Bombyx mori: one gene and its partner. The protein of the gene in region 2 binds, or shares a complex with, the protein of the main gene of each other region. Links are inferred from orthologs where the notes say so. Each region holds a gene or a part of one and is shown on either strand. Other genes may lie near its edges.

Region 1 (4,584 bases), on a different chromosome or scaffold from region 2:
TTTTTGTTACTTTACAGGAGAGCCATTTAAAGTTTAAAATTTGAAAAAAATATCGCAACAACAAAAACTTCTTCAGCTATTTGAATGCGGTAAACTTAACTGAAGTTCAATTAAAAACATTGGATTGGTGATACTAATACTAAATAAAACCGACCTTTAATTAGAAAGATAAATATCGCATAGTAAACGAAATGTCGTATAACCCAAATAGCATATAATCCGTCGATAAGGATTTAAAAAAAAAAAATTATATGTTTTACCTGTAATACTTCTATGTATATATCTATTTGCGACCTTGGATACATTTCAGTTTTAATAGCAGCAGTTAGAGCTTGTCGGAGATGCATTGACATTTCTTGTGACTTGCGGTCCCCGCGAGGTCGGTTCTTTCGTTCACCTAGATGCGAAATGTTCGATAATAAGTCGTTTAGAAGTCGTCGTGGCCTAACGGATAAGACGTCCGGTGCATTCGTGTTGAAGCGATGCACCGGTGTTCGAATCCCGCAGGCGGGTACCAATTTTTCTAATGAAATACGTAATCAACAAATGTTCACGATTGACTTCCACGGTGAAGGAATAACATCGTGTAATAAAAAAAACCCGCAAAATTATAATTTGCGTAATTACTGGTGGTAGGACCTCTTGTGAGTCCGCACGGGTAGGTACCACCGCCCCGCCTATTTCTGCCGTGAAGCAGTAATGCGTTTCGGTTTGAAGGGTGGTGCAGCCGTTGTGACTATACTGAGACCTTAAAACTGTATCTCAAGGTGTGTGGCGCATTTACGTTGTAGATGTCTATGGGCTCCAGTAACCACTTAACATCAGGTGGGCTGTGAGCTCGTCCACACATCTAAGCAATAAAAAAAAAAAAAATAATAAGTTATGTAGCCTAATAGGCATATATATATAATAACCCTTATAAGTTGTGTAGATAAGAATATTCATATCTTTGGGTCTATCTTAGTTTCTTTTTGTACTGACGAGGGAATATCCTAGTTTTAACTTTTAAATGGGTAGAATACATAGACATCGCAGTGTGTATAATGCCACCGATTTTGAGAGACAGTCAAAATCTCAAATGTATTATGAAACTGCAAAGCATGATTGCTTCATTGTAAACATATAACAGTACCTACTTCTGCAGGCTTATCACATACATAATTGTATTGTTTTCAAATGTATAACATTTATAATATAACTGCCTATCTGCCAGCTATATGCTTACCTAAATTACATATTATATTATGTGAGTGGAGAATTTTTTTTATTCTCTTGTAGGCAGACGAGCATACGGCCTACTTGATGGTGAGTGGGTAACCACACAGTAATGTCGCCCATTGACTTCAGCAATGTCAGGGGCAGAGCTATTGCCTGCCGCTGACTGTGCTTAACACTAGGATAAAATGCATCCTATTTAATTTCCCATAGTAGAGTTTCTTTCATTTTCATGTTATTATTTGCTGTATATTTTCTAACATATAATGGCACTAAGTAAATTCCATAAAACTTTAAATGATGAAAACTTTTTGCATCTTTTGATTAAAATAAAACAAAACCTTTATTCTGTTACAAACAAATTTTTGTCCACCATAAAAAAAACTACACGTACGTAGTAAACGTATCTGGTTCAGTAGGTCTGATGATGTGCAGGAACAAATAAATGTACACACTGAAATTAATTCTAAGATTGATTGGAAATCCACGGATGTTATTAACTTGTGTATTTTTAATGTGCGATTAAGCTCATACAGATTTTTTTCTCTATATATAATCTCATTTATTTGAAGAGGCTTTTGAAAATATGTTGAACTCTCAATGGGTACCTGTTGAGAATGTAGCCATACTGTATTGGCAGTTGACAACTACAGCTTCTGTCGACATCTTCGATTTTGAAGCCTGAAAAACATTTTAAATTATAATGAAGGTTTTTCATTTATGAAGAACGTGTCCGAAAATGAAGTACCTAAAATGTGTAAATACATATTTTTTACCAGCTACTTGGTAAGAATTTGGTTACTAAAGCTGAAACACATCAAGACGTGAATGCGACCTTGGCACATGGGTCGATACTTCAATATTGTAAAATAGCTGTCTTATTCTTCAAGCCAGAAGGCATTACACTTTTGTAGCAGAAATAGTGCAATTTTGTAGCAGAAGTAGCGGGATAGTGATGATTATTTACTCAGGCAGATTTACAGACGTTTTGCCACGGTAAACTAATCAGTATTTGTAAATCGTTTGTATCATATACCTGATGGGGTCCATACACGGCTGCAAGCACTTTCGTGTTTCCTTGTTCGAGATACGCACTTCCATCAGGCTGGGTGAATACACCAAGTTTACATCTTATCCGACGTAATTCATTGGGTCTCCGCCCGTCAAGACGTAGTCCTTGACTCGAGAGTAGATCGGCAGCGGGCATTATTTAACTTCTAACAAAAACACATTAAAAAATAATGAATTGTTCAATATGTTGAATTGTTTTGTTAAAAATATTTGCTTTTTACTATGTTATATTATCATAGTCGATTCCGTTTTTAAAATTCGCGGTGATTCTAATAATTCATGAGATTGGTTATGGACGTTATGGTTATTAAAGAATAAAGACTAATAAATATATTATTTTCGTTCAATTATTTTTTAAACTTTATTTTGTAGGTTATGTTATCGTGTTTTTTTTCAGGGTAGTGTGACCTGGTAACTAAGACCTTTAAGTCATTTCTTATTTTAATTTATATTATTATTTTTATGCAAAATGATAATATGGAGTGAGATGAAATGAAATGAAACGAAGATGATTAATTTGAGACATTAATCAACTGAGATGAAATTAAATGAAATGAGATGATATGGGATGAAATATAATCTCAGTAAAATGGTGGTTATTTACTAAGATTTTTCCAATTTAATGAGCAACGTGTCAGGCAACTTGTCAGTGATGTTGAGTTGGGTGACCGCCGTCCTTCGCAGTTTTTACGTTATCTTAGATCATTGGCAGGAAAAACCCTCACTGATGAAAATTTGCTTCGCCAGCTATGGATGCGTCGCCTCCCACAACATCTCCAAGCAATTTTGGCCGCCCAATCAGAACTCTCGCTGGACAAAGTCGCTGAGCTAGCGGACAAAATTTTGGAAGTTTCGCCTGGTATGGTCGCACCTCATTCATCTGCTGTTTTCTCAGCAAGTACGTCTGCCGTCTCAACCCCTTCGTTAGAAGATATCACACGGCGTCTGGATGAGGTCACGCGTCAGCTTGCTGTGCTTACTGCAGAGCGCGGTAGAAATAGGACCCGGGATTTCTCAAACCAGCGACGACGCTCACAAACGCCTGGTAAGCTTCAAATGTGCTTTTACCATAGGAAATTTAATACTAAAGCTGTTAAGTGTATTCAACCATGTACCTGGACGCCGCCGCCATCTTCGGAAAACGACAAAAGCAGTCAATGATGGCGACGTCTGACTGCTTAAAGGAGAGTCGCCGATTATTTGTCACCGAAAGCGCAACCAAGCGCCGTTTTTTAATAGACACAGGCTCCGACCTCTCCTGTTACCCATACCAGTGGTTAGCAAATAAGCCGGTACGTTCAAACTATACGTTAGCGGCTGCCAATGGTAGTGAGATACGCACTTTTGGTCACATAGAAATGGCGCTTAATTTGGGGTTACGCCGCACATTTCAATGGCGATTTATTATCGCTGACGTCAACACCGCCATCATCGGCTCCGATTTTCTGGCGCATTATCGGTTGTTGCCAGATTGTGCCAGTAAGAGACTCGTCGATAGCATTACCGGGTTGTCATACGTTGCTGCCGTCGCTGTTTTAGACCAGACCAGCGTCAAAGTTGTCTGCGCGCCGTCATCCCAATTTAGTGCACTTCTTGCGGAATTTCCGTCCATTACGAAGCCACCAGGACTTATTCGTGAGCCGAAGCATAACACAGTTCATTATATTCTAACCACTGAGGGCGCCCCAGTCTCTTGTCGTCCTAGACGTCTGGCACCTCAAAAACTTCAAGAGGCCAAAAAGGTTTTTGATGATATGGTACAGTGCGGGACAGCCAGACCTTCGAAAAGTTCGTGGTCTTCTCCACTTCATATGGTCCCTAAGCGCGACGGCACCTGGCGACCCTGCGGCGATTATCGTGCGTTGAATTCACGTACCATACCTGACAGGTACCCAGTTCGCCATATCGGTGACGTTGGCCATAACATATCTGGGTGTTGTATATTTAGTACCATCGACCTCGTTAAGGCATATCAGCAAATTCCTGTTGCGCCTGAGGATATCTGTAAAACCGCCATCATAACACTCTTCGGACTCTACGAATTTAATTACATGACTTTTGGTCTGCGCAACGCAGGCCAAACGTTTCAAAGATTTATAGACGAAGTTGTCCAAGGTCTCGATTTTTGCTTTGCGTACGTTGATGACATATTAGTGTATTCCCGTGATGCTCTTCAACATGCTGCACACCTTCGTACTCTTTTCAAGCGATTTGAAGATTACGGAATCGTTATTAATCCAGCAAAATGCGTGTTTGGTGCTCCTGAGGTTACTTTTCTCGGAAACAGAATATCCGCCG
Region 2 (2,839 bases):
TGGAAATATATTAGAAATAGTGAAAAATAAGGGTATTATTTTTGCTGAACGACCAACTCAAGTTTGTTGAATTTACATAAGAAAATATAGTTAAATTAGTCTTAAATTATAATTAAAGTGTTCCGATGATAATGTAAATATTGTTTGATTCTGTGACTACATTTTTAAAGAGTTCTGAAGTGTAAAATCTTTTAAAATAAACAGCAAAAAAAATAAAAACCTGTACGAAGACTTTGGTATTATGTATATATTGTGGCTTTGTTCAAATTTAATATGAAATGTATTTATGTCATAAGTATTGGAATGCTACATGTCCTGAATACATGTCCATAGCAGTTTTCATTATGTATTGAGATTTCAAAATTAGATTAGCATTTGCCAAAATAAAATTTCCATCACTGTTTTAGTTTTGTTTCCTTTACGGGATCTGCTTGTAGTCTACATATATGCAAAATGTCAATTGAACATTAGTCAGGTTCTCTCATTGAATTTTTTTCTCAATTCGACTGGGTATCCGTAAATGGATTCCCTAGGGGGTTCTCTCATTTATGTTCAATCTGAGAGCTGACTTCCTTTCACCACTAGAAATTGAACATGTGAAAATTCTGTATGATATTATAACTTTATAAATGTTTTCCTTTCAAATGGTTTTTCTGGGACCCAGAACATGAAACCTTTAAATTTTCTTAATTGAAGATTTTCTAAATGATTTAAGTTTCTTAAAAAGAAAACAAATTTCTTTAATAAGGTTTTTCATTTATTTTAGCTTACATGACCTGCGAGTAAAACTGCTATGTTCTTACACATACTTTTAATTTCATCGTTACTCAAATATTCTGAGCCCAAAATCGCGTTTCCTAGAGCCAATGTCTCTCTCATAGTGTTTGCTTTGATCCAAATCCTTCCATTCATGCCAGCTGCTAATTCAAATGGCCATTCGTTCTTTAATGAGTTCAATAATGGACAATGTGGGTTTAATATTTTTCTGATTAAATTCAAAGAGCATTTGAATACGAATCCTTCTTCTAATACTCCTAGTCGGCCTTTTTTTCCATGCGAATCAACGCACACAAGCTCTGGTTCCATATCTTTGCTTGCGTTTAACATTTTCGCGTACACAACATCGCCTGTTTTGATTGCGGGACGGTTTTTCTTCGTCGCTCCTTCGAACGACAGATATGACAGCGATGCGGCACAACTCCCCCCGACGTCCACACGGAAAATATCGCCCGCTTTCTGTACCACGGTACCGATCACATTTTCACCTCTAGAAGGCACATAGCGCTTCTGATAATTGTCCACCCAGTATGTATTTGGTGTTCGTTTCCGTAATACGCCTGGTTTTGTTATAAAAACACCGTTAATTTCTTTGCGAAGTCCAGGACCTAGTAGAACTTTTCCTTTTTCGCCAGCCGCCACGATCTCTGGACAGTGATCTCCAGGTAAAACTACATCATCTATTGAAACGTTCATGATATTTTTGTTCTATTTTAGTGAGAATTATAAATGAACACACAAATAAATACAAAGCCCTAACCTCTAAAACAGCAATGTTTATTTGATTTGATTGGTCCATCCAATAGGCAAAGAAAACATAGCGCATAGGTACCTACCAGTTAAATCTTATGCATTTAATTGTTGTATGAAAAATGAAATTTAGGCGAAGGAAATAAAATTAAGTAATGATAACATTAAATGTGTTGAGCCGAAACCAGTACCCATGTATGTAATTCTGATATCCATTGAAATAATGCTGACTTTAGGTTCCATCACAGAATACCATAATATGTCTAGGAAAGCTGCGTAATCATAGTCAAATAAACTAACTTCACTTCATTTCATTCATCCACATCATTTTCTATAGAAATATACCACAATATTTAAAAGATAGTATATGGTCTGATACTTTTGCCTTTCTAGATGAAAAAATACAACTATTGCTATTACTTTGACACTTTTGACAGTTGACTAACTCGCAGTGCCTAGAGGTTTGCACATGTTCGCTGTTTACATATCACCGAAAAACTAATTCGGAGTATTAGTTATATTAAAATGCCCGCAGTAATTGAAAATGACGTAATAAAATACAAGGGCAGCAATTACTTTCGTCAAAGATTGCTACTTTCGACTCTCAGTGGGCGTGCTATTAAAATAGAAGACATTCGCAGTACCAACGATGACCCGGGTCTTCGGGAATATGAAGTCAGTTTAATTCGGCTACTGGATAAAGTGACGAACGGTACTAGAGTCGAGCTGAGCGAAACCGGTACTTCAGTATATTACCAGCCTGGTATACTGATTGGTGGACAAGTTAATCACAACTGTTGTACCCAGAGAGGGATAGGTAAGTGGTCTTCAATAAAGTTTCTACTCACGTCAAATACGTTATTAGGAATGTAGTTTTCTAAATTAGAAGATTATATATTAGTTTGATTACAGCTGGAAATTCAGACAATTCAGCATACACATTCTCCTGATAGCTAAAAGCATGGAGAGTCTAGTTCAGTGGAGCAAGGCATGGACATAATAAATATTGTTAATATATACTATAGGATGGGATAATAAATCTTTTGTCAGGCATGCAACCGTCTAGGAGAGTCCAGTTTAAATACTAAAATAAGTTTTGACAGAGTGAGGACGCCTTGGTTGTTTTTGAAAGTAGTTTTAGTGACATCAGCTTGACTGATGTAACTATCTAAACTAAATCAAACCATACCATGGTCTGAACATTAACTCAGCATTTAAATACTTCCTGTTATGTTCATCCTCGGACTGACAAATTGAAATTAAAAAATAACCTTTTTAGGTTATTATCTTGAAGTTCTACTAGCCCTGGGAC

The links.
Region 1: Rrp40 (region 2) and exosome complex component RRP41 share a complex: the UniProt entries of both Homo sapiens proteins name them as parts of the RNA exosome core complex. The link is inferred for Bombyx mori from reciprocal best matches to the Homo sapiens genes EXOSC3 and EXOSC4.

The regions. Positions count from the first base shown.
Region 1 is NC_085134.1:3,235,561-3,240,144, forward strand, and holds the start of exosome complex component RRP41, read right to left. Parts: upstream 2,843-4,584; 5' UTR 2,423-2,842; coding exon 2,252-2,422; intron 1,897-2,251; coding exon 1,824-1,896; intron 398-1,823; coding exon 261-397; intron 1-260. UniProt on the Homo sapiens protein: Non-catalytic component of the RNA exosome complex which has 3'->5' exoribonuclease activity and participates in a multitude of cellular RNA processing and degradation events.
Region 2 is NC_085114.1:14,716,186-14,719,024, reverse strand, and holds Rrp40 (exosome complex exonuclease Rrp40), read right to left. Parts: upstream 1,553-2,839; 5' UTR 1,474-1,552; coding exon 763-1,473; 3' UTR 740-762; downstream 1-739. Other genes in the region: probable RNA 3'-terminal phosphate cyclase-like protein, read left to right, coding at 2,053-2,344, 2,807-2,839. UniProt on the Homo sapiens protein: Non-catalytic component of the RNA exosome complex which has 3'->5' exoribonuclease activity and participates in a multitude of cellular RNA processing and degradation events.